Elephas maximus indicus: one gene and its partners. The protein of the gene in region 4 interacts with the protein of the main gene of each other region in a pairwise test. Links are inferred from orthologs where the notes say so. Each region holds a gene or a part of one and is shown on either strand. Other genes may lie near its edges.

Region 1 (7,553 bases), on a different chromosome or scaffold from region 4:
GAGATGAAGAAATGGACTAGAGATCTAACATTCCATGATTCCAAGTACCACAAGAGTTCATTCTTTTTCACAAGAGGACACGGACTAAATTTTTCAACATGGAATTCTAGGCTGTTTATGACTTGGCCACCACCAACCTTCCAACCATCTCTCTCACCCCTCCTCAGACCTCAGCCACTACCCTGTCTAGCCTGCAGCTTCCACAAAGTTTTGCTACCACTCACTTGTGCCTTTGTACAGTCAGGCACAGTGCCTTCTACCTGGAATGCTCCCTAACTCCAACCTTTTTCTTCTTGAGTCTCAGCTTAAAGGCCCCCTCCCCTGTGAAGCCTCCCATGCCTCCTCACCCTTGCAGAAGCAGTTGGTGGGCTCCCTTTGCACTGAACACCGACTGCCTGTTAACACACAGGGAATAGGACTGTTGGTTTGCTCAGCAAACCCAACTGCCTAAGGACCAGGCAAGGGAAGTAAAGGTTTAAAGTCAATAGATATAAAAAACATTAGTCGGCCACAACCGATGACTGCCCTGACAGGGAGCACAACAGAGAACTCCTGAGGGAGCAGGAGATCAGTGGGATGCAGACCCCAAATTCTCACAAAAAGACCATACTTAATGGTCTGACTGAGACTAGAGGAATCCCGGCGGTCATGGTCCCCAAACCTTCTGTTGGCCCAGGACAGGAACCATTCCCAAAGACAACTCATCATACATGGAAGGGACTGGACAGTGGGTAGGAGAGAGATGCTGATGAAGAGTGAGCTATTTGTATCAGGTGGACACTTGAGACTGTGTTGGCATCTCCTGTCTGGAGGGGGGATGGGAGGGTAGAGAGAGTTGGAAGCTGGCAAAATTGTCACGAAAGGAGAGACTCGAAGGGCCGACTCATTAGGGGGACAGCAAGTGGGAGTACGGAGTAAGGTGTATATAAACTTATATGTGACAGTTTGACTTGACTTGTAAATGTTCACTTGAAGCTCAATAAAAGTTAATTAAAAAAAAAAAATTAGCCCTGTATTTTCCCACCTGTTATGGATTGAATTGTGTCTCCCCAAAATATATACTGAAATCCTAATCCCTTTCTTTCCAAGTATGTGTAAATATGATCCTGTTTGGAAATAGGGGTTTTCTTTTGTTATGTTAATGAAATCATTGGGGAGTAGGGTAAATCCTAAATCTAATCCCTTTTGAGTGGTGTCTTATAAAAAGAGCAGAATCGACACACACACACACACACACACAGGGGAACAGACCATGTAAGTAACTGTCCACAAGCTAAGGAATGCCAAGAAACACCAACGAATACCCAAGGCTACTGACATGGCGGGGATGCTGATGTCCTGCTTTGGACATCTAGCCTCCATAGCTGTGAGACAATAAATTTCTGTTCTTTAAACCACCCATTTGTGGTATTTTTGTTACAGCAGCACTAGATAACTAAGCCACCACCTCTGAGAAAACAAAAATATCAGCTGTGAGGAAAAACAACAACCTCAGAGCAATAATAAATGTAAGCATTCTGTTTCAGGGAACAATAGGAAGTGGTGGGGATTGAGGCCAACTGGAACACAGTATCTTGTCTATAGGAAGGAAACTCTACTCTGCTCCATCTGATTGTTGACCTGCAGGAATGTAGGTCCAGTGTGGCCAGCTCTTCCACTTTTTCAAGGAAAGCAGGAAATCCAGACTTGTATGTGAAATCACCTAACTTTTATATGTCAATAGCTGATTTTAAAATAATTAAAAGCCTATTTTGATAACTTTCAGGAGCCCTGGTGGCACAGTGGTTAAGTGCTTGGCTGCTAACTGAAAGGTTGGTGGTTTGAACCTACCAGTCGCCCCATGGGAGAAAGATGTGGTAGTCTGCTCCCATAAAGATTTACAGCCTTGGAAACCCTATGGGGCAGTTCTACTGTGTCCCATAGGGTTGCTAGGGGTCAGAATCAATGACAATGAGTTTGGTTGGGTTTTGGTATGATGATTTTCAAGGTTTTCAGGCTGTGGAAACTGAGGACTGACTTCTACCTATCCGAGGGAGCACATCCTATGGGAGGGTCACTGGTGTGTTGGCTGTTAAACATGTCTACGCATACTGCAAAGAGCTTCCAGGGTTATACAGAGCTTTTCAGATAGGCCCCTGTCCTTCTCTGGGCTTGTTTCTCAATCTGTGAAACGGGGATTCAAATCCTGTTTGTGAGTTGGCTGTCAAACAGAATACAAGAGAAATGCAAATCAAAACTACAATGAGATACCATCTCACCCTAACAAGGCTAGCCCTAATCCAAAAACACAAAATAATAAATGTTGGGGAGGTTATGGAGAGACTGGAACACTTTGCACTGCTGGTGGGAATATAAAATGGTACAACCACTTTGGAAATAGATTTGGCGCTTCCTAAAAAATCTAGAAATAGAATGATATGACCCAGCAACCACACTCCTTGGAATACATCCTAGAGAAATAAGAGTCATCACATGACTAGGTATATGCATACCCGTGTTCACTGCAGCACTGTTCACAACAGCAAAAAGATGGAAACAACCTAGGTGCCCATCAACAGACGAATGGATAAACAAATTATGGTACACACACAATGGAATACTACACAACAATAAAGAACAATGATGAATCCGCAAAACTTATCACTACATGGATGAATCTAGAAGGCATTATGCTGAGTAAAAGTAGTCAGTCACAATAGGACAAATATTGTATGAGACCACTATTATAAGAACTCAAGACAAGGTTGAAACACAAGAAAACATTCTTTGATGGTTACAAGGGTGGGGAGGAAGGGAGAAGGGGATTCACTAACTAGATAGTAGACAAGAATTACCTTAGGTGAAGTGAGGGACAACACACAATACAGGGGAAATCAGCAGAACCGGACCAAAGCAAAGAAGTTTCCTGAACACAACCAAACATTCGAGGGACAGAGTAGCAGGGGTTGGGGTCTGAGGACCATAGTTTCAGGGGACATCTAGGTCAACTGGCATGACAAAGTTTATTAAAATGTTCTGCATCCCACCTCGGTGAGTGGTGTCTGGAGCCTTAAAAGTTTGTGAACAGCCATCTGAGATGTATCAATTGATCCCAATCCACTTAGACCAGAGGAGAATGAAGAAAACCAAAGACATAGGGAAAATATTAGCCCAAGAGACAAAAGGGCCACATAAACCAGAGACTCCATCAACCTGAGACCAGAAGAACTAGGTAGTACCTGGTTACCACCAACAACCACCCTGACAGGAAACACAATAGAAAGTCCCTGACAGAGCAGGAGAAAAGTGTGGAGCAGAACTCAAATTCTAGTAAAAAGACCAGAGTTAAGGGTCTGAGACTGGAGGAACCCTCGAAGCCAGGGCCCTCGGATGCTCTGTTAACCCAGAACTAAAACCACTCCCCAAGCCCACTCTTCAGACAAAGAGGAGACCGGACTATAAAACAGAAAATAATACTTGTGAAGAGTATGCTTCTTAGTCCAAGCAGATACAGGAGACCAAACGGGTGGCTCCTGTCCAGAGGCAGGATGAGAAGGCACGAATGGACAGGAGCTGGTTGGATGGACATGGGAAACCCAGGGTGGAAAGGGGGAGTGTGCTGTCACATTACAGGGATTTCAACTAGTTACATAACAATATGTGTATAAATTTTTGTATGAAAATTAACTTGAGCTGTAAACTTTCACCTAAAGCACAATAACAAATAAAATATTAAAAAAAAAAAAAAAACAGAATACCATTTACTGAAGGGTTTTCAGAGCTAGGTGCTTTTTACCTGCCTCATCTCACTGAATTCTCAGCGTATCCTTTATGAGGTAAATTCTATTACATCCACATTTTACAGATAAGAAAACTGTAGCTCAGAGATAGCAGTCTACCAAACACTCAAAAAGCCCTTTCTTTCCAAGTGCTTACTCAGTTAATCCAACAACTCTGAGAGGTAGGTGCTATTACTGCCTGAGGCCACAAAGCGAATAAACTCTGCAATGGGTACTGTACCAAGGCATCTTAGCCTTAAGTCTGCTCAGTGCTGGGGAACAGAAATTTTGTAGTAGCCAAAAGCAAAAAGAAACAGGTGAAATTAATTTTAATAACGTTTTTTATTTGACCTAATATATGCAAAATACTATAACTTCAACCTGTAATCAATATAAACTTATTCATACATTTTATATTATGTTTTCGTACTAAATCTTTGAAATCCAGGCTTTTACATTACAACACATCTCAATTGGGTCGAACTACATTTCAAGCGCTCAGTACACACATGAGGCTGTTGGCCACGCCGTGGGGCAAGGCATTTACAGTCCAAGCCAAGCCCGCAGAGGACACGCAGTGTGTTGAGAATCTTACACACGTTGTATCTGTCATTCTCGCATTGAGACAGGTGTCACGCCCTCCTTGTTTGATGGTTGAAGGATTTAGGAGTGAAGGATGCATGCCGGTGAGTGGGGAGGTCCAGACTCGAAACCGCACAGCCGCCCCGGAGCCAGGCCCTCCCCAGCGCCCCGCCTGCTGTGCTGCACCGCTTTACCCGAGCCAGGTGCCAGCCCCGGAGAACCCATGGCTCCCTATCATCCTAACTAGGGTCCAGTGAGGAGGAGCGCCCTTGGGGCCAGGGGCGGGTCACCTGAAAGATGAAGTGGTCAAGGAAGCTAAGGAGCCCAGTCGAGGAGTACACCTCGTCACCTCCGGGGTGCTCCTTCTTTACTTTCTCTTCCTCCTTTCCCGCCTCCTCCTCCTTTTCTTCCTCCTCTTGAAACGGGTGCTCCGAAGAGCCATTATCGGACTCAGGTTCCCACACGCTTAGATTGTCTTGCGGCTCCACGACCTCAGCGTCTTCCTGAAGTAAGTCGCTAGGGGGCGACTCTCCCTCGAGCAGCGACGTGGCTTCCCAGCTCTCGAGCGCCGACCTGATCATAGAGAAGCCTGAAGACTTCCGCTTCCGGCCACTCGTGGCGCCTCGCTGGTGCAGGTAGGCTTCCTGCGCTGCCAGGCCGTCCCCCGTCCGCCTCTGTCTAGGGTCGCGCGGCCCCTGCCCTTTAGTCGGGAACGTTCCTCCCCTCCCCCCGCCCCAGCCCTGCGCAGACGCAGTGCTGAGCCCATAGCTGCCGGACAGAGTGACGTGCGGAGCCGGAGTCATGGCAGCAACGGAGGAGAGCTTGGCGACCACCGGGCCGTCTGGGAGCCCCGCAGCGCCTCCGGAGGAACAGGATGGAGCCGGCCCGACGTCGGACCCGGAACGTAACTCCGCAGGTTCCTTTTCGATTCCAGAGGCCTCACCGCCTGTCCCCGAACCCTCCAGCCCCCACGCCGCGGTCCCCGAGGCGATCCCTACGCCTCCCGAGGCAGCTTCCGCAGCCCTGGAGCTGCCCGCTGGGCCCGCGCCCCTGGGCTTTGCTCCTCTGGTCGACGCCGCTCCGCGCTCGCCCCCGAGCCCTGGATGCTCCCGACCCGGCCCCGAGACGTTCCGCCAGCGCTTCCGGCAGTTCCGATACCAGGACGCGGCGGGCCCGCGGGAGGCGTTCCGGCAGCTGCGGGAGCTTTCCCGCCAGTGGCTGCGGCCCGACATCCGCACCAAGGAGCAGATCGTGGAGATGCTGGTGCAGGAGCAGCTGCTCGCCATCCTGCCCGAGGCAGCACGGGCCCGGCGGCGGGGCCGCCGCACCGATGTGCGCATCACGGGCTGAGCGGCGGAGCTGAGGGCGGCTGAGCTGAGGACGGCTGCGCCGCTCTGTGTGGCCTGGGGCCACGATCGGATCCGGGGCCCTGAGCCTGGCTCCCCACTCCGCGTTAATGAAAAACGTGTTTTGGCAGCTCCTGTAGTCTGATGTGCCTCTTTCGTTCGCCCTTTACTGAGTTTATGTTCCCAATCCTATTTCCCACCTCCTTTCTGGCTGATGACAAAACCAAGTCGGGAGCCTAGGAGGGTAAGGCCTTTGCTTCTTATTCCCTGGGCCATTGTTGGCTTTTGTGGGACTCTTACGTGTGGGCTGGATCTGGGTCGATCCCTCCACCGTATCTGGAAGTTTTTTTCCTGTGCTCTAAAGGGTCTCTTTTGCCTTTCCTTTGTTTAGTGGGAGGCTACATAATCAGAGTTACCAGGCTCTGGAGTCCCGCTGCCTGGGTTCCATTTCCACCTCTACCTCTTAGAAGCTAGAATCTAATTTTGTTTTCCCATCTGCAAAGATAGATGAGAGTGATAGGTCCTGCCTCAGAGGTAGCTGTGGAATCCTGCGGGCAAAGTAGTTGGCTGTTAAATGGTTATCTGCCATATCTTTATGCCAATACAGGCACCAACTTATTCTGTTCTACCCTTTGGACAAAGGCTTCCCAGAAGGCCCGTGCTATTGGGCTATTTAAATGTGAAGTGTTTTTTTCCCAGCCCCGCCCCCCCACCCCACCCCAGACTCTGGACAGTTGCTTTGTGCCTCCAGACTCCCTCACCTCCTTCCTTGCAAATTTTAAACTCTGGTAAGATTTAAGAACCAAAACTGGTGTGAACCAGTGGGTTATTTAAATTGCCGGAGCTACTTATTTTAATGAGTGTCTCTACAACTGGCTCCCTTTTTTAAAATACGTGTGATTATTTAGAAAGGGAAGAAGGAATTTGGTGAGTAATTGGGAAGCTCTGCTCTGAAATCTTAAAAACTATTCTTATTTGTTCCCTAAGGCTTCTGCCCACCCAGGATGAAGTTAAATAGGGTCTATGGGCAGGTTGGACTAGTCCCAAAAGGGTCTAGTTGCAATGGGTGCCATCTCTTAATACCATGAAGGCCAGACCAATCCCTGCACTGCTTTCAACAATCACAATCTAATAATCCTGCAGCTAGTACCACAAAGCATGAGCCAGACTGAGCTAGAGGCTGGTTGTGGGGCATTCTGCTTTTGAATATTAGAAAGTCATTTTAAAGTATTTGCATACTTTCTTGGGATCTTGAGCTTGCATCTGCCTCCCTGCAAAAAATAAATCTGTTTAGAATGTAAAAGCAGAGTTTTATAAGGTGATACAGAAAAGTAATGCACATTAAAAAGTGAAAATCTTTATAATTCAATAACATTTAACTGATAAACAGCAACAAAAACCTGTTTTATTTTTTCCAAATACAGAAGTTTGCATGTTTTGCAAATATTGCTTCAAAGCAACATTACATTTCTATATACAGCGCCTTCTGTTCTAACAGCGCGTAAACATAGGTATGTATCCACAGTGCAATGTTGGCTCATCAAGGGTCCACCTTGCATACACTCATCACTTAAAATGGTTAGTCAAAGCAGAACTGTTTTTAACCAAGGCAATTTTTGTAGGTGGATATTTTTCACGAAAAAAACAAAACTTAGGTAGTGCACATGTGTCTAAATGGTAACAGTAATGTTTGCAATTAACAGTTTCCAGTGCTCCAACTTGGGTTAGTTCATCTTGACCTAGGATTTGGGGATCAGGCCCCTCAACATGGCTTTAAATTAGGGAAGCACACTGAGGTCAGAACTTGGAGAGTCCTCCCTGCTTCCCTAAGGACAAAAGTCACACTGGATGAAATGGAATTAGTTCC
Region 2 (7,473 bases), on a different chromosome or scaffold from region 4:
ATTTCTGTTTGTTAAGGCCATCCACTTGTGGTATTTCTGTTATAGCAGCACTACAGACACTGGCCCCTGGCCCTGCCAGCCTGGAATGGAGGGCACTGGACCTTGACCTGGACCTGCTACCCCCTTCAGGCATGTTGTATTTCGAGTTCCCAGACTACTGCACCCCCAAAGTTGGCAAGATGATTGCAGAGAACTGGCACCCATATAGCATCACTGACCTGGTTTTCACCTACTAAGCCCACAATCAGCAGCATGTGCACACCCCCAAATTAGCTGTTTACATACAAGAATGCTATTTTCCCAAAAGAGAAAATCCTCTTCTGGTTCCTTTCAGTTAGCGAAAACAGGTACTAATGTAGGTCTTTTGTAAAAACGAAGTGGTATAAGGCAAACTTTTGGATGGGAGACGTACCTGTAATTAGATTTAAAATTTTACAGAATCCTGAATATTCAATTAACTCAAACAAACAACCCCTAACAGTAACTAATTCAACACATGCATCAACAATTACTTGTTCATCTAATTTCACCTTAAGGCATTCTGGAACAGCACACTCCATAAACTCCTCTAAAGTTTTTTGTTGCTTATTCGGAACGCTTCTGACACTTTCTTCAATCTTCTTTGTCTTCTTGCTTTGCACTGCATTGTACTCATCCGTATGGTGACGCTTCAGGTGTCTCTCTAAATTCGCTGCATGGTCTCCAACCATATCTGTGTTGCAAATTTTACACGTGCTTTTATTTTCAATCTTTTCATACTTGAAAAATTCTCGACATGGGTTTTCTCTGGTTCGTCCCATACTAGAATTCAAGGGCAAAAAATAATATTAACATTAGAGCATATTTTATAGTCACCATATTACATTTAAAAAGGTCTGGTGGCGCAGTCATTAAAGTGGTCAGCTTCTAAGTGTCTGGTTGGCAGCTCAAATCTACCAGCTGCTGTGTAGGAGAAAGATGTGGCAGTCTGCTTCCGTAAAGATGACAGCCTTGGAAACCCTATGGGGATAGTTCTACTGTCCTATAGACTCGCTATAAGTCTAAACCCATCTGACGGCAAGCAGTTTTGTTTTTATCACGTTACGTTAAAAATGAGTATTAAACTTTGATGACATAAAAAGAATGCATAAATACATTTGTAGAAATGAATCAGAGCCGGTACATATTACAACGGTTCTAGTCACGAGCTGTCAGTATATTAGAAAAAACGCAATAACTTTGTTTTTACATTCACAGGGTTTGCTAACTTCCTACATTTAAAGTCCCACTTTACAACATTCTCGTATGTTTATTCGGCACCTTTTGAAGAAAATCTCACTTAATAGTGACGCCATCAAGTTGTTTTCAGTGAAATAATCCTCTATCAGAACGGAAACGTTTTCTTTCCACTAGTTGCTTATGTTTGTTAACATTTAAATTTGCGAGATAAATACCCAGTTCAAACATATAAGTACAATGTGTGATAGTACATTTAAATCGACATTGGATACAAGAAAGGAACCATTAATAAATCACATGGCATTTTCTATTTCTTGAATTTAAATATCACACTTAAAAAATGTGAATAATGTACGTTTAAAATGTTTACACTCACCTGGCAAATTTCCGTTCACACAAAACTCTGTTCAGAACTCGATGCAATTTAACCAGCTCTTTCAGAATCCTAACGAGTTCTCAATCGTCGAGCGTTTCTCACATCTTCATCAGGTAGGCACAGCTCGCTTTACTGTGAGAAGTCAAGCATGGACCGGAAATTAAGCTCGGAGGAGGTTTGTTCAGCTCAGGCCCAACCTCCGGCCTGTCCGAGGGGCCCTTGACCTCTGCTGTCTGTCCCTTGCGGGCGCCCAAAAAGGGAAAGGAGGGAGGAGGTCTTCACGGAGGCGGGGGCCCAGGTACGGGTATACAGAATGGTGTTCATGGGAGGCAGGAACGGCCTGGACTACGTTCGATGGTGCGGACGCGCACGGCACGTCGGGACAGAAACTGACGCTCAAGGCCGAGCGTAGGGGACGGCCGGGTCCCGAAAGTAGGCCCCGCGCCGCTCCAGGGGGTGGGAAAGGCCACGCTCACCTTTACCGCGGCGCCGGTGCCCCGTAGGTAACTTCCGGGAAATGGCGCCGCGCCAGCTCCGCACGCCATTCTCCACGCGCTTGCGTAGAACGCACCGACTCGCCCCTCCCACGCGTTGCCCTGGCTAATCAGGGGCCTACCCCAAAGGCACCGTCCTCTCCCTTCGGACTACGTTTCCCTTGAGCCTCAGCAAAAAAGCGGAGTCCCAGTCTCGACCAGTGGGAGCTCATTTCCAGAGGCTTCTTATGCCTGAGAGGTGTCCCATTTACGATGGGGCCCGAAGGGTCACAAAGTGCTTGCGGCCCACCCCCTCAGCGGTCGCTTTTCGCTCAAACCCGAACCCCAGGACTTACAAACTGTCAAGTTGGACAGTACTTTGGCATATCGCGCATGTGCACAACGGGTCCGGTTCCTACTGGCAGGCGAGGTGACGGACGAGGAGGCTGACGTCCTGACCAGTCAGAACTGGCGCTTCGCCCGAGCCATTCCCCTAGAGCTCTCCGTGAGGCTTCTTCCTTGCAGCCCAGCGGTCCACTTAGTAACTGCTAGTGCTTTTTCTGCAGCCTCTAGTTGTTTCCACGGCAACGGCTAGAGTCGCCCCGGCCCCTAGAGAGGCCGGAAGTGGCGGTTCCGCCGCTACGTCTAGTTAGACTGAGACGAGCGTGTAAGTGGGCTTGGGAATGGCTAGGCTCGGGTCGTCAGTCCTGATCCGTAGACTTCCTCCGCCCTGACATTTGACCTCCACTGAGCACCCTGCGGACGTGCGGGGTAACAAGGACTCCGGTAGGCGCCAGTTTACTGAAGAGGAAACTGCTTCAACAGTTACATAAGGCCCTCACTGTGTGCCATGATTCTTCAGACCATTTTTAATAAAATTGATATTATAAGATTATAGTAAAAAATCAATATGGGCTTATTGTAGTGACTTTGGAAAACAGAAAAGTTCAAAAGTAATCTCACAACCCACTTTGCCACTCTTCAAACTCGGATGCTTTTCTGTGCTGTTTTTTACCCCTTAAACTAGTATATTCATATCTAATAAACATTTACGTACTAATTTCAGTATTTCCAGTAAACATGACATGATAGGCAGCACAAGCCTGTATATCTTTAGAAGGAAAGCTTAGAGACAAAAGCATTTGGAAAAGAAATTTACTTGCAAAGAGGGGCAACCTGCAGAATGCAGCAGGTATTTAAAGAAACCAAACAAAAATTGCACAATTACCAAAGTGACTGAGATTGCATTAGCCCATTGGTGGCAGGAAAGTAGCACACTTGTCCCATGATTATCATACCTTCAGCTATCCGAAGTAGAGTGCAGGCTTTTGCCTAGACTTAGGGGAGGTGCTCAACGTTTCATTTATTTTGGGGACCAGAACTAGAAGGGTGACCTGTTATTTTTGTCATTAGGTGCCTTTGAGTCAGTTCTGACTCTTAGTGACCCTGTGTACAACAGAACAAAACCCTAGCCAGTCCTGGACATCCTCATGTTCATTGTCATGCTTGAGTGCATTGTTGCAGCTGCTGTGTCAGTCCATCTCATTGAGGGTCTTCCTGTTATTTGCAGACCCTCTACCAAGCATGATCTCCCAGGGACTGTTTCCTCCTGATAACATGTCTGAAGTATGTGAGATGAAGTCTTGTCATCCTCCCTTCTTAGGAACATTTTGGCTGTACTTCTTCCAAGACAGATTTGTTTGTTCTTTTGGAAGTCCCTGGTATATTTAGTATTCCTCACCAACATCACAACTCAAAGGCGTCAATTCTTCTTCGGCCTTATTCATTTTCCAGCTTTCGCATGCATTATGAGGTGATTGAAAACACCATGGCTTGGGTCAGGCAAACCTTTAGTCCTTAAAGTGACATCTTTGCTTTCTAACTCTTTAAAGAGGTCTTTTGGAGCAGATTTACCCAGTGCAATATGTCAGTTGATTTCCTGACTGCTGCTTCCATGGGCATTGATTGTGGATCCAAGTAAAATGAAATTGTTGAAAACTTCAATTTTTTTCCCATTTATCATGATGTTTATTGGTCTAGTTGTGAGGATTTTTGTTTTATGTTGAGGTGTAATCCATACTTAAGGTTGTAGTCTTTGATCTTCAGCAGTAAGTGCTTCAAGTTCTCCTTGCTTTCCGCAAGCAAGGTTGTATCATCTGCGTATCACAGGTTAATGAGTCTTCCTCCAGTTCTGATGCCCCATTCTTCTTCATATAGTCAAACTTCTCATTTTATTTGCTTAGCATACAGACTGAATAAATATGGTGAAAGGATACAACCCTGATGCACACCTTTCCTGACTCTAAACCATGCAGTATTTTTAGTTCATCTCAATAGGCAATGTAACTGTTTAAGTCTGACTGTGGGACAGGGTCAGTTTTGCTTCTCCACATCAAGTGCTGAACTGTGACTTATTTAGCCAACCCTAAATTGTTTCCATTTTGGTGTCCTCTGATAATCCCATGATGAATTCCACTGATTGGAAGCTCTGTGCCTGTGTGTGGGTGGGACTTGTCAACCTTGAGCTTCTCTGTAGCATTATCAGCATACGCCCTTTGGAAGGGAAAGTACCCCAGTGGGAGTATCCTTACGTTTTTTCTCTGAGACTGTGTAGAATCCCCAGAGATGAATCTTCCACTGCACACCACGTAGGGAAAGATCAAGTGTTCTAATTATTGTTTATTTGCTTCTCATGTCTCTCCCAGTCTTCTTTGTCGTAGGTCCCCTGGCTTCTCATTCCATAAGTGCTGGACTTTGGTTCTCAAGCCGCTGGAATTCTGCAGTATAAGCCTGCTTAGACAACCCTCCATTTCCTCCAGTGCCAATGCTGTATTTGGCTTTCTCTAAATTAGTGACAATATCCCCATCTGCTTCTGACTTCAAAATGGTGTTACTATTAGCCCCTTTTCCACCATCCGCACACTTGTGGGTTTATGTTTTAAGCCTTTTCTTTTCTGGTTTTAGTGTTGTTTCTGAGCCAAGACAGACGAAATGTGTCCAGTCTGCTATCTTGACCCAGAAAGCCCAGGGATGATTTCCAGTCTCCTCCTCCCTTCACCCTTGCCCTCATCCTAGCCCCAACATGCCCTTTCCAGCTCTGACAGCAAATTCCCGGTTGCCCTGTCCTTCTGGTGACTTCTGTGCAGTGTTGGGGTTGGAGCAGGTGTGATGCACTCTGGCTAAGCAGCAAATCCTGTCTCCACGTGCACACGAAAGCTTTCCTGCGTCCCTGGCTCGCAGGCACAGGGCTCCTCCCCTGTGTGGATCTGTAGTCCTTTGCCTGGGGTTCCCTTCCCTGCGTTCATGTTAGGTCGGAGTTGCGATCTCAGGCCTCCATGGGCTTTGGGCCTGCGGCTGGGCCTGAGGGGGCAGTGTGATCGGTTTCCTTCCCTTGCGCACCCTCCGATAATATGGATAGTGGCTTGGGTTGAGGGGGCCGTCCAGTGCTTGCCCTGGGCCGCCGCCCAGCTTTCTCGCCGGTGTGGATCCTCTGGTGGTGGAAGAGGGCCGGGCGCTCGCGGAAGGCGCGGCCGCACTGCGAGCACACGAAAGGCTTCTCGCCAGTGTGGATGCGGCGGTGGCTGATGAGCACGGCGCCCTTAGAGAAGGCCTTGCCGCAGTCCCCACAGCGGAAGGGCCGCTCGCCGGTGTGCAGCAGCTGGTGCTGCGTGAGGTTGGAGCTGTGGCTGAAGGCTCGTCCGCACTGAGCACAGGAGAAGGGCTTCTCGCCCGTGTGCACACGCTGGTGCTTGAAGAGTGAGGAGCCCTGACTGAAGGCAGCGCCGCAGAGCGCACAGGCGTATGGCTTCTCACCCGTGTGCGTGCGCTCGTGCTGGATCAGGTGTGAGTTCCGGCAGAAGCGGCGGCCGCACTGCGCGCAGGCGTAGGGCCGGCCGCCCGCGTGAATCTTACGGTGCTGGCTGAGGTTGGAGCCGTGGCTGAAGGCCTTCCCGCATTCGCCACAGCGGAAAGCCTTCTCGGCTGTGTGGATTCGCTGGTGGCGTACCAGCGATGAGCTGTGCCGAAAGGCCTTGCCGCAGGCCGGGCACGCGTAGGGCGTCTCGCCACTGTGGATGCGCTGGTGCTGCGTCAGGTGCGACGTCTGGCTGAAGGCTTTGCCGCACTGGGCGCATTCGTATGGCCGCTCCCCCGTGTGGGTGCGCAGGTGCTTGAGCAAGTCAGAGCTCTTGACGAACACCTTGTTGCAGGCCCTGCATTCGAAGGGCTTATCTCCAGGGAGGAGGCAAGCGCCAGTGTGGAGGGCCTCCCTCAGCTCGTCCCTAGCAGGGGCCACCTGGCCAGTGGGAAGTGCCTGAGGGTTGCTGGTCAGAATTGCCATTTCTTCCTCCCTGAATGTGGGAAGATCCCCCCTAGCGTGAACTGGGACACAAGGGAGGGCACTTCCAGGAGCCTCCCTCATATGTGACTTCTGCTGCTCCTGCACCCTCAGCTGCTTTCCCGGCACTGGGCAGTCTGTGAGGGCCCTTCCCCTGGGCAGGCTGCCCTCTGCAGCCCTCAGGGGTGCAGTCAGCCTCAAGCTGATGCTCTCCTCCCCGCTGCCGGAGCCCGACAGGAGCCTCTCCCAATAGATCATGGACACCCCAGTGGATTTTCTCTCCCCAGATGGAAAGGCACCCTGCTGTCCCTCCAGGATTTTCCCCAGGTCACAGGCACCAGGAGAGGGAAGGACTCTGGGAGGCGTTGTCAGAGGGGGGCTACCCAGGAAGGCCCCAAGCAATGCTGCTTTTCCGTAAACATCCCCATCATCTGCTGGACACCGCGGACCTGAAAGCAGAGAAATGGTGGTTATCTGGGTCATCCCAGCCAGGAGGCGGAGGCCAGGGCAGGTAGAACACACAGGGCAAAGTGGGCACCCTGGGAGGTAGGTGTGTTAACAGGCAGAAAAGCACGGGCCCAGGCCTGACCAGGCTGAGAAAAGCATCTGCTGTGACAAGCATGCCACCCATGGCATCTGGGACCCCCATAGTTAAGACACTAGCCCTGAAGCCCAGAATGCAGGGGCAGGGGCAGAGTTGGCCCTGGCCCCAACCGAGAAGGACACTAGCCATTGAGCAGCTGCTGCAGGCCAGGTCCGGTCACCACTGGAGATGGGTGGTGCACTACCTCATGGTACCCAGACTTTGTGTTTGCTGTTCCCAAAGACAGTGCTACAAGTGTCCTGGTCAAGGCCGTGTCCTCTGTGCCTGGAACATGTGTGGCCACAACAAGTATTCAAGAAATACTGATGAACAAATACATGAGGGAATGAAGCAATGACCCACAGATACAGCAACAAGACTGGGAAGGTTTGAGGCTGTATAGCCCTCTTGGGCTCTTAACAAGCCTCCCCATGGCCTGGGAGTGACCTGTGTCTGAACCCAGCTTTGGTACCCTCAGCTTGACCTT
Region 3 (7,816 bases), on a different chromosome or scaffold from region 4:
TGGGACATCTGGGAGGGCTTCCAACCTCAAACAAAAAGCAAAATCAGGCTTCAGGCCTGTCGCAGCCCACAGGCTACACCTGCTTCCAGAATGACACTATCGTTCTCCCATACCCCCCAAACGACTCTGTAGTTAGGCCTTAAGGGTCTCCTCACAGCTGGGGAAGAAGACAGCAGGGCAGGGAGGGCCAAATACCCTCGAACCCCAGTCAGGCCCAACCAGAGAAGAACCCAGGTCTTCCCTGCCTGTGTCTGAGGACAGGGCCCAGAGTGTGGCACCCAATGTTCAGAAAGTGATTCATTACACCTTAGAACAGGTATCTGATACAATCTCATGTCCCAGATTAAAACTCCTTCCTCAACACTCATTCCAAAAGAATGAGCAAACCAAGACACCTGCAGCTCAGGAGGTCGTAGTGGGGAGAGGGACACAGAAAGAACCAAAGACATTTACAAACAGCCCTGTGCCTCCGAGGGTGGGCCAAGAGCTGAGTGAGCTCGGAGGAGAAAGTGATGCCCACAAAACGGGGAGGGAGCATCAGGCTGCCCCAGCTCTGGCTCCCCTCCCCTCCCCCCCGGCCACTCCCCCTCTCCCCCGCACCTGCACCTTACCTCCACTCACTGTGTTTCAGTCACGTGAGCTTTCTTCCCCACCTCAGGGCCTTTGTTCCCTCTGCCCAGAAAGTCACTGCCCGGATGCCTGCAAGGCTGGCTCCTCATCCATCAGGTTTCTATTCCCCTTGTCACCTCCTTAAAGAGCCCCCCCATACCCATCACACTATTCTGTTTTTAGAACATAAGTAAGGACCCTGCCTGACGCCACCACGGCCAGTCTTCAGTCTCTAAAACAGTGCTCAGCACTAAGTGTTCCGTAAGTATTGTGGAATGGGGAGGGGTACACCACCCTCCTGAGAGGAGAGTCAGCGAGCTGTCTGGAAGGAGACGGGGAGGACATTTGAGCTAAGGAGCCAGACAGCTCCCAAAACTGCCTCTTCCCCTTTGGGGCAGATCAGAGGATCTTTCCTACACTGAGTCACAGCCCAGACTCTAAAGGCCTCACAGCCCTGGATCCCAGCTCTACCTCCTGCATGAGCCCACAGAAGACCTTCTTCTCCTTCCTACCAAGTATTTGAGTCTTTTATCTAAACGCTCCTGTGCAACAGTATATGGTTGACAGACCTTCTGCAGCCCTGGTGGCCTCCTGGGCACAACCTCTGCCTATGTCCCCACCCTGAAATGGACATATACTAACAGTAATAACAGTCACTAATACTTGTCAAACACCATGCTCCATACATTGTGAAGCGCTTCACACGCATGTTCTCATTTCAGCCTCGCAGCACTATGAGGAAGGATGTATGCACATTTACCAACGAGGAAACAAAGGCACAGAAAGGTTACACAACTTGCCTGAGATCACACAGCTAGGAACTGGCAATGCTGGGATTAGAACCCAGGTAGCCTGACCAGGGAGCCCAGGGCGGGGTATCACCATGCCCCCTGGGACCTGTGCAGTGGGTAGAGGCCTCAGATTGCACAGAACAGTGTGACAGACCCCACCCACTGGGCAGCTGAGCCAGGCCTCTCACCAAGCCTGACTCCTGAGATGACTTTCTGAACTCCAGCCCAGGCCTGTAAACACTTACCATTAGTCACATTCATCTTGTCAGTTTTGGCCCATCCTTCTGCCCTATAGCCCACATTTGAAATCTTCATTTTATGGGTGGTGCAGCGGTTAAGTGTTGGGCTGCTAATCAAAAGGTCACCAGCTGTTCTGCGGGATAAAAATGTGGCAGTCTGCTTCTTTAAAGATTTCAGCCTTGGAAACCCTATGGGACAGTTCGATTCTAACCTATAGAGTCACTATGAGTCGGAATCGAGTCAATGGCAATGGGTTTGGTTTTTTGGTACACTTGTCATTCCTCCCAGCTCTGGGTCAGAACAAAAAGTCAACTGGCTTCCCCTTTAAGTCTTCATCCCAGTGACTGATCTAAGTGTTCCCTTGGAATGTGTCTGGGACCATGCTTTGTGGCCACCACTTGAGCCCCTCTCCAGGGTGATATCTGTCCCCCAAACCATCAGCACCTTTTAAGTATAACAGTTGTGAATCTACCTGCCCCTGCCCATTCTTCATTTTCCCGACAGGCCCATAATACTAACCCCAAAACGCAGACCAGCACTTCACTGTCAACAAGACATGCCACCTCTGCAGCATTTCTGTGTCCACCAGTCCACTTATCAAAAATGGGCGCATAAAAGGAGAATCTGTTGAAGTCAAGGAACGGAGCTCTCCCCTCAACACCCCCCGAGGAGGTGCCGCTCTCCCCAAGTATGAGGTCGCTGTTGGGAAAGAGGGTGCTGCGGCAGAAAAATACGCTGTCATGGTAGATGTGGCTCCTGAGTCCCAACCCTAGCCCCGCTCCTGACCCCATAAGACCCTCTCTGGGCTCGATTTCCAGGCTCAGACCCACTCAGGGGCTGCGCAGGGCAATTCCGGGCCCTCCCGCCCCGACCTCCTGGCAGCCGAGCTCCGGAGCTCCTGGAACTCGTTCCCCGCAGCCGGCGGGGATATGGAAGGAATTTCTCGGGCCTGGCCACCTCCAGCGCCCCTCGCGGGCCAAACCCCACCCTTGGCCGGCTGGGAGAGAAAGGGTTGGCCGTCGCACTTGGGGGCTGACTCTGAGCCAGCAGGTTCCGCTGGGAATCCAGTCCCCCCCTCCCCCCACTCTCCAGTTTCCAAGCAAGACTCCCAGCGTGGCCCTGAGCCCATTGCAGTGCATCCGCGAAGACCCCGTAGACCCCGTTCCTCCCCGGGCCTCCCCCGGGGACCACCGTGCTCCTCCCCAGGCTGCCCCCTCACCTGGCAGGGAGTGCTTGCCTCGCCTCTCCACCCTAGCTTTCCGGGGTCGCGCATCAGCAGACGGGGAGCTGCTCTGCACCGCAGCGGCGCCCATACCCGGAGGCCGGGGGGCGCGGGCGCCGCGTGGGGGCCCCCGCTAGTTCCGCCGCCGCCGGCTCGCGCTCCTGCCGCCGCAAGGCTGCGGCTCGGCGCCCCCCGCCCCCAGGAAGCCCCCGGCCCAGCAGTTCCGGCCGCTGCCGTGCCCCCCGCCCCCGCAGCCCGCGGCCGCCCGCGTAGCCATCCCAGCCTCGGCGCGCCTCCCCCGGCGGGCAGGCGGGGACCGTGACGCGCGCCCATTGACGTCTCCGGAATCCCGGCGGCGGCGGCCGACGCAGCCTCATCAATGGGGCTAAAAATAGCGGCGCCCGGAATAGCCGCGAGCGCCCCGCCCCGCGGCACCCCCCCTCCCCAACACACACAGGCTGCACACACTGTTACATAACCCGCCTCGCTGGGGCCGGGGCAGAGGGGCTGTTTTTCACAGGGTTCTGAGGCCTTGCTAACACCTAGCGAGGCAGGAACCCGGAGCCAGGTTATAAATAAACTTACCCGGGGCTTCCCCCGAGGAAGAAGTGGAAAAAGAGGCCCGGAGAGGCTTCGCGGCGGCCCAAAGTCTCACAGCAGTTAGGCTGGCTTTAGATGACAGGGCCCCTGACTGAGCCCTGGGCACCCACACCAGCCTTTCTTGGCCTGTATGCCACCCCAAGGGCAAAGAAGCCAGGTAAGAAGAGTGCCCAGCTCCCAGACAAGAAGGCAGATTAGACAGAAAGAGGACTTCTTGAGAGAGTGAAATTTCCCCTGAAGAGAAGCAGTCCCAGACTTGAGAATGCGTGCAAGGGCAAAGCACACGTGATGGAGTCACAGACCTGGCTTCTCTAGATCATACGCATACCACTGTGTGACCTGGGACAAGTCACTTAACCTCTCTGAGCCTCTGTTTCCTTACCTATAAAATGAGGATGATAAGACTGTCTCCATCTTGGTTGTTTCTTTTCCTTTTTTTTTTGTTTATTGGAAGATTAAGCAGCTGTGAAGTTGCCCTGTACACAGTAGAATGAATTTCTCCTCCTTGCTCTCCCTTAGAAGTCCGACTTCTCCAATCCTCAGGAGTGCTTAGTGCAGGAAATACACAGTGGCCAGGAAGCCCTGAGAGACCCACCCTCCTCTGACTGTAGTCTCTGTCACAGATTGAATTATGTCCCCCCAAAAAGGTGTGTATCAATTTGGCTGGGCCGTGATTCCTAGTATTGTGTGAGTTTTCCTATATGTTGTAATCCTGCCTCTATGATGTTAATAAGGGAGGATGGGTGGAAGTTGTGTTAGTAAGGCTGTATACTCTACAAGACTGGATTGTGTCTTGAGGCAATCTCTTAAGATATAAAAGAAAGAAGGGAGCAGAGAGACAAGGGGACCTCATACCACCAAAAAAGCTGTACCAGGAGCAGAGCATGTCCTTTGGACCCGGGGTCCCCGCACGAAGAAGCTCCTAGTCTGGGGGAAGATAGATGAGAAGGCCGACAGAGAGACAAAGCCTTCCCCTGGAGCTGACACCCTGAATTCGTACTTTTAGCCTACTTTACTGTGAGAAAATAAACTCTTTGTTAAAGTCATCCACTTGTGGTATTTCTGTTTTAGCAGCACTAGATGACTAAGACAGTCTCTAAGTGCAGGCTTCCCCAATAAGAACCTTCCTGGTGGTGGGGGTGCTTGGAAGATTTCTCTGTCCCACCTGACTGGGGCATTCTTTGGATATGGGAGAACTACCTTGTCCTGAGCAAATCCTTCTTCCCCAACAGCTGCCTGCTCAGGTGTATCTGTGGGGAGGGGGTCGCCAGGCCAAGGCCTGAGCAGTGGCGCTTGGGTCCGGCTGGGTGGGGTTGGGGGTCACAGCTCCTGTATGCTGGGCGGCAGGGCCATTGGAGAACAGTCATTAGCGAGGACCCAGTCCTGTGCTCTGCTACACCAGCCACCGGTCCCTGCTCACTTTTGGAGTCACTTTAAACTATGAACACGAGATCTAATCCCCAGCACCCAGGCCAGGCCCCACGCAGCAAAGAATGCCTTCTGCACTCTCCAAAGGAGGCCCCACACCCCACTCAGCCCTCATTCCAGGGGCCACATTCTTCTCCCCACCCCCATACCCACCCCCACAAATCCTTTTCTGGACCTACCCTAAACTCCTGGTGCAACTCAGAAGCCCCTTTCTCTCATTCCTCATAATAATTCCAAGAACCTCTGGTTTGTTCCAAATCACCTCCTCAGAACCTTCACATTTTTTTCCCAGATACAAGTGTTAGGCCAATTTACAGATAAAGAGAGGCTTCAAAAAAAATAGCTGAGCGGGGGAAGCCAGGGGACCAGCTTTTTTCCACCCTCCACACTCCCCTCCTTCCTGCCTCAGCAGCTGCTTCCTAATGGGTTTCTTAAACCACTACCCCACCCCCTCTTTTTCTTTTCCCAGAAATCTAACTTTTGAAATACATTCTAAAATATTTGCCTGTGTAGGAGAAATACATTTATTTGGACAGGAAGGACTAAGGAAAAAAAAAAGGGCTCAGTTACCAGTTTTTCCATGAAGCCTTCCAGCCCACAGAGGTCTCTCCCTTCTATAAATACCTTAGCACAACTTGCCTTTATTTTAAACTCCCCTGCTTTATAATCAAAACATATATTAAAACATGCATGGATAAAACACACGCACTGTGTGGCTTGTGGTGCCAGCATGAGGTGGTGAAAGAAGCATAGACTCAAGAGGCTTGGGATCCACATTGGCTCAAACTCTTCCCAGCTGTGTGACTTCAAGGAAGTTACTCGCCCTCTCTGGGCTTCTCATCTGAAACACAAGTGTGATAACATACGTATCTCGAAGGGTTGTCATAAGTAATGCATCTTTGATAATAGACATAAAACATGTAGCAAGGAGTTGGGCACATAGTGGCAGGGCTGCCGTTTCCACAGAGGAGGACTTGCGGAGGCCATCTGGTGGGAAGGCAGGGCTGGGGAACCTGTCTTGAAGCTGCACATGCAAAGTGCCTACCATGGCTTTGCCCAGCTGGTATGTTTATGTAGGGAAGCTGCGGGGCAGGGAGGGCTGTGCAGTTGGGGGTTATGCCACCCCTTAGTGCCATTACTGATGTACAGTAAATTCCAGGCCCCTTGTTGTCTTCTGGAGTCCCTAGGTGGTTAACGCTCTCAGCTACTAACTGAAAGGTTGGAGGTTCAAGTCTACCCAAAGGTGCTTCGGAAAAAAGGCCTGAAAATCTACTTCAGAAAAAACAGCCACCGAAAATCCTATGGGGTATAGTTCTACTGTGACACATGTGGGATTGTCATGACTCATAATTGACCCCACAGCAACTGGTTTGTGGCTTTGCTGTCTTCTTGACCCAGGTCACTCAGCTAGTGACCAAGCCAGGACCACAGCCCAGATCTTCTAACTCCCAAACCAGTGCTGTTTCTACCCACCATCTTGTTCCTTCATGCCTAGCCCTTCCTCTTTCTACACAAATCCCAGGAACCATTGTTGTGTGCCACTGAGCCAATTAGAACTCATAGCGACCCTATAGGACAGAGTAGAACTTCCCCATAGGGTTTCCAAGGCTGTAAGCATTTTGGAAGCAGACTGCCACATCTTTCTCCCGCTGAGTGGCGGGTGGGTTTGAACCACTCACCTTTCAGTTAGCAGCCGAACGCTTAACCACTGTGCCACCAAGGCTCCTTCAGGAACCCCTACACAGTCCATACTGCAGATGAGGAAGCTGAGGAAAGAGAAGCTACCTGAATAGTTTGGGGGGGGGGGTTGGGGGGGCAGGCACTTTGGCCAGTGTTGTCCTGTCTTCTAGGAAATTCCTCAGGGAGGTGCTGTGGCAGAAAGCTGGTTCCTAGTCTGATGGGGAGGCAAGAAACAAGAATAGGTATTAAAATATTGTCAGAAGACCAGGAAGCAGCCTCTAAGAGGTCTCAAGCCAGCACTGCAGTGGAATCTAGAGAGCTAGTCTGAGAGGCCTCACTGGAGGAGGAGAACATGGGGGCACAGTGTGCAGGGAGGGAAAGGACCAGGCAGGGCAGAGAGAAGGAAGGGCATACCACAGTGGAGAAGGGCTGGCCCCAAAGCTGATAGGTATTAGGGGGCAAGGTAGGGATTCTGGAGATGAGGAGCTGTGAGCTGCAGGACCCAGGACAAAAAGTCAGACCCTTAGTGGTCTTCACTATATGCCCCTCAATCTTACATTATCAGAAACCCTTGATCCAACCCCACTGAGTCAGGGAGATACCATTCCTCCCCACCCACTCCCTCCCACTGCAGCAGGGAGGAGCCAAAGGATGTCAAAGGGGTTCTTGTAGGTCCAGAAAGGGCTCCCCTTCCCAGGCCCTGACCCTCAATGAGGAGAGGGGCTGTGGAGGGGATTCCCTTATGGGTCCCTTCTTCATCTTGAGGATCAAGAACTACCTGGGTGGGGTCCCCCCACCACTTCCCAGGTTTGGGAGCAATTAGAGGACAGAAAAATGGGGGCACAAAGGCAGGGCCTTCCTGGGGCTGTCCCAGAGAGCAGGGGCTGTCCAGGGACACCACCCACTGCCGTAGATTCCGAACCGTAGCGATCCCATAGTCTTTCCAAGGCCACATCTTGCTCCCCCCTGGAGCCTCTGGTGGTTTCCAACCCCAGATTTTTCAGTTAGGCGTCAAGCACTTTAACCACTGTGCCACCAGGGCCCCTTACCTGTTAACCGTCCGTCGAGTCAATTATGGGGTTAAAAACCAAAATCAAACCCATTGCCATTCCAGTCTTCGATTCCACTCATAGTGATCCTATAGGGCAGAGTAGAATTGCCCCATAGGGTTTCCAAGGCTGATCTTTATGGAAGCAGACTGCCGCATCGTCCCCCTCTTCCCGCCCCGCCCGTGGCTGGTGGATCC
Region 4 (7,573 bases):
ATTTCTGTAATGGCTAACGATTGTGAACATTTCTTCATGTGTCTGTTAGCCGCCTGAATGTCTTCTTTTGTGTCTGTTCATATCCTTTGCCCATTTTTTAATTGGATTATTTATTTTTTTGTTGTTGAGGTGTTACAGTATCTTGTAAATTTTAGAGATTAGACGCTTATCAGATATGTTCTAGTCCAAAATTTTTTCCCAATATGTAGGTCCTCTTTTTACTCTTTTGATGAAGTCTTTCAATGAGCATGAGTGTTTGACTTTTAGGAGCTCCCAGTTATCTAGTTTCTCTTCTGGTGTCTGTGCATTGTTAGTTATGGTTTGCATACTATTTATGCCATGTATTAGGGCTCCTTGCATTGTCCCTATTTTCTCTTCCATGATCTTTATTGTTTTAGATTTTATATTTAGGTCTTTGATTCATTTTGAATTAGTTTTTGTGTATGGTGTGAGGTATGGGCCTTTTTCATTTTTTACAGATGGATATCCAGTTGTACCAGCACCATTTGTTAAAGAGACTGTTTTTCCCTCAATTAATGGACTTTGGGACTTTGTCAAATATCAGCTGCTGCTAGGTGGATGGATTTACATCTGGGTTCTCAATTCTGTTCCATTGGTCTATGTGTCTGTTTTTGTACCAGTACCAGGCTCTTTTCACTACTGTGGCAGTATAATAGATTCTAAAATCAGAGAGTGTGAGGTCTCCCACTTTGTTCTTCTTCAGTAATGCTTTACTTATCCAGGGCCTCTTCCGTTTCCATGTAAAGTTAGTGATTTGTTTCTCCATCTAGTCAAAAAAAATGCCCTTGGGATTTGGATCGAGGTTGCGTTGTATCTGTAGATAGCTTTGGGCAGAATTGACATTTTCATAATGTTGCATCTTCCTATCCGTGAGCATGGTATGTTTTGCTACTTATATAGGTCTCTTTTGATTTCTTGCAATAGTGTTTTGTAGTTTCTTTTATGTCTCTGGTTATTTATTCCTAACTACTTTATCTTCTTGAAGCTATTGTAAATGGTACTGATTTGGTGATTTCCTTTTTGAAGTTGTCTTTGATTTTGGTATGTTTATCTTGTATCCTGATACTTTGCTGAAATCTTCTATTAGTTCCAGTAGTTTTCTTGTGGATTCTTTGGGGTTTTCTGTACATAAGATCATATCATCTGTGAATAGGGATGCTATTACTTCTTCCTTACCAGTTTGGATTCCCTTTATTTCTTTTTCTTGCCTTATTGCTCTGAGTACAACCTCCAGTACAATGTTGTGTAAGAGTGGTGATAAACGGCACCCTTGTCTGGTTCCCATTCTCAAAGGGATTTCTTTCAGTTTCTCTCCCTTTAGAATGATGTTGGCTGTTGGCTTTGTATAAATGCCCTTTATTATGTCAAGGAATTTGCCTTCTATTTTGCAGAAAGTTTTTGTCAGGAATGGGTGTTGGACTTTGTCAAAGGCCTTTTCTGCAATAATTATAAGATGATGTGGTTCTTATCTTTTGTTTTATTTACATGATGGATGGCATTGTTTTTCTAATACTGAACCATCCCTGCATACCTGATATGAATCCCACTGGGACATATTGAATTATTTTTTTGAAATGCTGATGAATTCTATTGCCTAGAATTTTGTTGAGGATTTGTGCATCTATGTTCATGAGGGATATTGGTCTGTAATTTTCTTTTTTTAGTGGTGTCTTTGCCTGGCTTTGATATCAGGGTTATGCTGCTTTCATAGAATGAGTTCGGGAGTATTCCTTCCTTTTCTATACTCTGACATACCTTTAGTGTTATTGGTGTTTTCTCTGGAAGTTTGGTAGAATTGTCCAGTGAAGCCATCCAGGCTTAGGTTTTTTTTTTTTGTTGTTGGAAATCTTTTTTATTACCTCTTCAGCCTCTTCTTTTATAATAGGTTTATTTAGTTTTTCTACCTCAGTTTGTTTTAGTTTATGCCAAGAATGGAAGACAGCTACTTGGCCAACCGACTGGAAGAGATCCACAATTATGCCTGTTCCCAAGAAAGGTAATCCAACCGAATGCGGAGACTGTGGAACAATATCGTTAATATCATACACAAGTAAAATTTTGCTGAAGATAATTCAAAAGCAGCTGCAGCAGTATATCGACAGGGGACTGTCAGAAATTCAAGCCAGATTCAGAAGATGACATGAAACCAGGGATATCCTTGCTGATGTCAGATAGATCCTGGCTGAAAGCAGAGAATACCAGAAAGATGTTTATCTGTGTTTTATTGACTATGCAAAGGCATTCGACTGTGTGGATCATAAAAAATTATGGATAACATTGCAAAGAATGAGACTTCCAGAACACTTAATTGTCCTCATGAGGAACCTGTACATAGATCAAGAGGCAGTTGATTAAATAGAACAAGGGGATACTGTGTGGTTTAAAATCAGGAAAGGTGTGCGTCAAGGTTGTATCTTTTCACCATACCTATTCAATCTGTATACTGAGCAAATAATCCAAAAAGCTGGACTATATGAAGAAAAACGGGGCATCAGGATTCGTGGAAAACTCATTAACAACCTGTAATATTTGGAATATGCAGATGACACAACCTTGCTTGTTGAAAGTGAGGAGGACTCGAAGCACTTACTGATGAAGATTAAAGAGCACAGCCTTCAGTATGGATTACATCTCAACATAAAGAAAACAAAAACCCTCACAACTGGACCAATAAGCAACATCATGATAAATGGAGAAAAGATTAAAGTTGTCAAGGATTTCATTTTACTTGGATCCACAATCAATACCAATGGAAGCAGCAGTTAAGAAATCAGAAGACACTTTGCATTGGGCAAATGTGCTGCAAAAGAATTCTTTAAAGTGTTGAAAAACAGAGATGTCACCTTGAAGACCAAGGTATGCCTGATCCAAGCCATGGTGTTTTCAGTCGCCTCATGTGCAAGCCAAAGCTGGACCATGAATGAGGAAGACTGAAAAAGAACTGATGCCTTCAATCTGTGGTGTTGGCGAAGAATACTGAATACTCCACCGGCTGCCAAAAGAAGGAACAAATCTGTCCTGGCAGAAATACAGTCAGAGTGCTCCTTAGCAGCAAAGATGGCGAGACTATGTCTCACATACTTTGGACATGTTATCAAGACAAATCAGTCCCTGGAGAAGGACATCATGCTTGGCAAAGTAGAGGGTCAGTGCAAAAGAGGAAGACCCTCGATGAGATGGTTTGACACAGTGGCTGCAACAATGGGCTCAAGCATAACAACAATTGTGAGAATGGGCAGGTCTGGGCAGTGTTTCTGATTTTGTGAACAGCCATGTTCATCTCCTTTGCTGATTTTTCTATTTCGCTTCTCCTTTTGCTTTTAAGGAACCCTGGTGGCATAGCAGTTAAGTGCTACCGCTCCTAACCAAGGGGCTGGCAGTTCAGATCCATCAGGTGTGCCTTGGAAACTCTGTGGTGCAGTTCTACTCTGTCCTATAGGGTCGCTATGAGTAGGAATCCACTCAACGGCAGTGGGTTTGGTTTGGTTTTTGGTTTGTTGGCGCAATGGTTAAGAGCTGGGCTGCTAACCAAAAGGTGGGCAGTTCAAATTCACCACTGCTCCTGGGAACCCTATGGGGCAGTTCTACTCTATAGGGTCACCGTGAGCAGAAATCAACAGACTCCGCAGCTCCGGTTTGGGTTTTTGGGATCCTTTAAACCTCAATGCCCTTAAAGTTGAAATAGGAGCACTGTGTGCCAAAATTTTATGTGCACATGTCCTTTGGGGGAGTGTTTTTTTATGTCCTTTGACCATCCAGTTCCAATGTGTGGAATGTGTCCTAGAAATATAAAAGAATATATTCAATTTTGTTCTCTCCAGCATTGTTTATAAAGAAAATAACATAAGTATACCTCAGTATACTTTTTTTTTTTTTTTTACCTCAGTAGGCACAGTTAAGTAAATTATGGTACAGCCATACAATAGAATACTATTTAGCTCATAAAGGATAAGTTGCTATGGAAAGATCTCTAAGCTATCTTAACTGAGAAATCTAAGGTGCAAAATTATACAGTGATCCCATATTTTAAAATGCACGGATATATACTTATTCACTAAACAAATATTTATGAGTACTATTTTTTTTTTTTTATAGGGTCTCTGTAAGTAGGAATCAGCTTGATAACGGGTTTGGTTTTCTTTGTTTACTTTGTGGTAGGTAGGGTCCTCGAAAGATATACACAGAAAATAGTTAACTCTGGTGAGTGGGACATTTATTTTTCATTATCTCCATGTTAGTTGAGTTTTTATTGTACATACACAACCCGTAAAATTTTTTTAAATTAATTTTTGCTGCTTGCTGTATTTTAATTGATTACTGATTCGTGTCCCACACTACTAGCCCGTGAGGACCCCAAACAGAGACTCGGTTTTGTCTTTACCACCTTGTTGGTTTAAAATAAAGAGCTTTTAACTGAAATGATTTACATAAACGAGGTGAGCTGCTTGTCCGACCCCCGGGGGCTGGGTTCTGGGGGCTGAGGGAGGCCTGGGCGAGGCGGGAAGTGCGTTGCGTCTCTCCCGGCCCCTTCCGCCCACCAGCGTCTGCCTCCCAGGTCCCGGCCGTCAGCTGCAAGCCTTGCTCTGTCAGGATTTCGAATCGTTCTCACTCTAGTGTGAAGGGGCCCCGGGGAACCTTCGGAGAGTCAGCGGGCGCCCGAAGGAGTGGGAGAGAGGGTGCGAGGCGGACCCTGACCGGGCCAGACTGCCCTGGTAGCCTCCTGCCCGCGCGCCAGGCGCACCAGAGAGACGAGCGGCTGCGCTCATAGAGCGGCGCGGGACCCGCTGGACGCCGCGACTCCGCCGCCCGCGCGGGGCTGGGCCTGCGAGGCGGGACGGCGGGCCGGGGCCCGGGGCGTCTCCGGGGGCACCCCGGCGGTGCGAGGAAAAGCCCTCGGCCCCCTGGCCCGCGGCTGCTGGAAGTGCTGGCGAGACCCGCCGGCTCTGCGAGGCGCCGCGGCCCTGGCTCCCAGAGGCCGGCCTGCACCTACAGGTGTGTGGGGACTCCGGACCCAGCGGCGCCGCGGGCAGCGCGGGAGCCTTTCGCGAGGCCGGGCATATCTTTGTTGTACACTTTCGCTGAACCTCTGGTCCGTTAACCAGCAATTAGACAAGCATTATTGAGTGTCCATGGTGTGCCAGACTCTGCGCTAGATCCTGGGGTGCAATCTCAGTGAGATACATTCCGGGCCGCCTAGAGTGTCTTGGCCGCTGGCATCTCGTATACGTCTGTGTGCGCTCACCAAGAAGTTCACCGATATTTGTTGAATACCAGGTACGTGTCGGGCATGTAGAGGCCATGCAGAGATAAACCCCGGTCCTCAAGTAAGCTTATTCCTCCTTGGCAGTCGGGAAAAGAGGGGGATGTCAGGAATACGAGAGGAAATGAGAGGTGCGTTAGGACTGGGCTTACTTTTCCATGGGAACATCCCATCTCCACCATTGTGGCTTAGAGGGCAGAATAGGTGGCTAGGAAAAGTTTTACGGAGGAGGTGGCATTTGCTCGGGGCCTTGGGAATTTACCCTGTCAGAAGAGCAGTCCTGGCCATAAACTACAAGGCAGGTGGAGAAAACTGAGTAGTCCCCACAGTAGTGGCATGAGGAGTTTGGGAAGACTTTGGTTTCCTTGAAGGTAGGGATTCTGTTTTTATTCCAGGGTTAGCCTTATGCATGGAAAACAGTGAGGTGTTCAGTAAATTTTTATGGAGTGACAAACAAACCAGCAAAACCCAGTAAAGATCACATCCTGGGATGCCTAAAATTGCGTTCTAGAGAGTTTGAATTTAGTTAGTTCAGTGAGGAGCAATTGAAACCTTTTTTTTTTCCCCCCTTGAGGCATTGTTGAATACAGTCAGAATTGGGATTTAGAAAATAGTAATCGAGTGCAGTTTTATTCTGACACCATAGGGTTGCCATGAGTCAGAATTAAACTCCCTGGCAACTGGTTTTGGAGTTTATGGGTGGCTCAGATGCTGGGCTGCTAGTAGAAAGGTTGAAGGGTTAAGGTTTGAGTCCACCCAGAGGCACCTGGAAGCAAGGCCTGGCGATCTGCTTCTGAAAAATGAGCTGTTGAAAACGTTGTTGAGCACAGTTCTGTTCTGACATACATGGGTTGCTATGGGTTGGAATTGACTGGATGGCAACTGGTTTGGTTTTCATTTAACAATTGATTGTGGGGTAAGTCAGTAATATCACACAAAAAATTATTGTAATAGTGAATGTAAATGATAATAATAAGAGAATAAAAAGGAGGAATGGCTACAAGAGGCATTTTGGGAGAAAGAATTGACTAGACTCAGAGTGATTGGGTATAGGAACCGGTTTCAAGCCTGAGAGCATGGAAGATGGTAGTGACATCAATAAAAATGGAGAAATACAAAGCAAGTGCAGCTTTGAAAGGACTCTAGTTTGGGGGTATGTTGAAATTGTGGGGCAGGAGAGGCCTATAGCTGGAGGTATCCCGCTGGCAGTTCGAGATGTGGGTCTGGAGTGTGAAAGACAAGTTGGAGCTAGACATAGATTTGAGTGTTCTTGAGATGGCAATGTACTGAAATTGTGATTGATGAGATCACAAAAAGAGAAAGTGAGGAGAAAGAACAAAATAACTTGAAGCATGTCTACTGTTCCAGTCATGTATTGTTGCATAAGAACATAAAAAATAAATAAAAACTTATTATTATTTCTCCTGATTCTGTGGGTTAATTGGGCAGTTCCACTGCTGTGGTCTCACCTAGAGTTACTTCTATGCCTGCATTCAGCTGGTGGCTCAGCTGGGGACTAGGTTCTCCTGGGTATTGACTGGGGCACCTTGGCTCTCATCCACATGACTACTCTGCATGACTAGCTTGGGCTTCCTCACAGTATGGCAGTCTCATGGCAGTGTGCCAAGAGTTATAAGGCCACTTCCTCTTATAATGTCATTTTTGTCACATTTTATTGGTGGAAATAAGTCATAATCCAGCACAGATTCAAGGGAAGGAGAAATAGACTCACCTTTTGATGTGAACAGTGGCAAAATCTCATTACAAAAGATATTTGGGGGTAGACGTTATAATTTCAGTCATCTTTGGAAATAGTCTACTGTACCTACATTTGAGGTGGAATATTCAGTGAGAGATACACAGAGATAGATGACTTTGAGAATATAGTATCTGTCATGCAGGTAGCCACCTGGCTCCTTCATGAGTAAAGTTATCTCCCTTTCCTAGCTAAAATGTAAACTGCTCAAGCACTCTTAAAAGTCTAATAAGCCCTTCTTCCCTCATATTTCACATCCTTTAGCTCTTGGCTGGACCCCCTCAGGGTTGAAGATGTACTTCTGATTAATTTCACTGATAAAGATAGGCAAACGGGCTCAGCTTTTGAACATGACCTACTGTGGGGACAAAAATATTACCATGTGGTGTAGCGTTTTGAAGCTCTTGTAATTTTCATGTTACTGACACATTCTCATGCCTCAGATAGACATTTAGAAAAACATTTCTGAACTGTAAACCACAGTCAAGTGATCCCTGTTCTAGCATCTAAGCTTAACATGTATGAAGCTTCAGGCC

The links.
Region 1: the proteins of PGBD1 (region 4) and SCAND1 interact in binary tests that used the Homo sapiens proteins (3 or more experiments, as listed by UniProt). The two-hybrid records come from large-scale screens. The link is inferred for Elephas maximus indicus from reciprocal best matches to the Homo sapiens genes PGBD1 and SCAND1.
Region 2: the proteins of PGBD1 (region 4) and ZNF446 interact in binary tests that used the Homo sapiens proteins (3 or more experiments, as listed by UniProt). The two-hybrid records come from large-scale screens. The link is inferred for Elephas maximus indicus from reciprocal best matches to the Homo sapiens genes PGBD1 and ZNF446.
Region 3: the proteins of PGBD1 (region 4) and NR4A1 interact in binary tests that used the Homo sapiens proteins (3 or more experiments, as listed by UniProt). The two-hybrid records come from large-scale screens. The link is inferred for Elephas maximus indicus from reciprocal best matches to the Homo sapiens genes PGBD1 and NR4A1.

The regions. Positions count from the first base shown.
Region 1 is NC_064843.1:33,573,671-33,581,223, forward strand, and holds SCAND1 (SCAN domain-containing protein 1), read left to right. Parts: upstream 1-5,141; coding exon 5,142-5,690; 3' UTR 5,691-7,042; downstream 7,043-7,553. Other genes in the region: uncharacterized protein LOC126067332, read right to left, coding at 4,631-5,143. UniProt on the Homo sapiens protein: May regulate transcriptional activity.
Region 2 is NC_064829.1:87,338,895-87,346,367, forward strand, and holds the start of ZNF446 (zinc finger protein 446), read right to left. Parts: upstream 3,006-7,473; 5' UTR 2,071-3,005; exon of another isoform or gene 1,727-2,070; 5' UTR 1,595-1,726; intron 802-1,594; 5' UTR 801-801; coding exon 531-800; intron 1-530. Other genes in the region: ZNF324 (zinc finger protein 324A), read right to left, coding at 5,393-6,852. UniProt on the Homo sapiens protein: May be involved in transcriptional regulation.
Region 3 is NC_064822.1:107,447,431-107,455,246, reverse strand, and holds the start of NR4A1 (nuclear receptor subfamily 4 group A member 1), read right to left. Parts: upstream 3,002-7,816; 5' UTR 2,860-3,001; intron 2,682-2,859; exon of another isoform or gene 1,646-2,681; intron 1-1,645. UniProt on the Homo sapiens protein: Orphan nuclear receptor. Binds the NGFI-B response element (NBRE) 5'-AAAGGTCA-3'. Binds 9-cis-retinoic acid outside of its ligand-binding (NR LBD) domain.
Region 4 is NC_064819.1:79,717,032-79,724,604, forward strand, and holds the start of PGBD1 (piggyBac transposable element-derived protein 1), read left to right. Parts: upstream 1-4,561; 5' UTR 4,562-7,554; coding exon 7,555-7,573.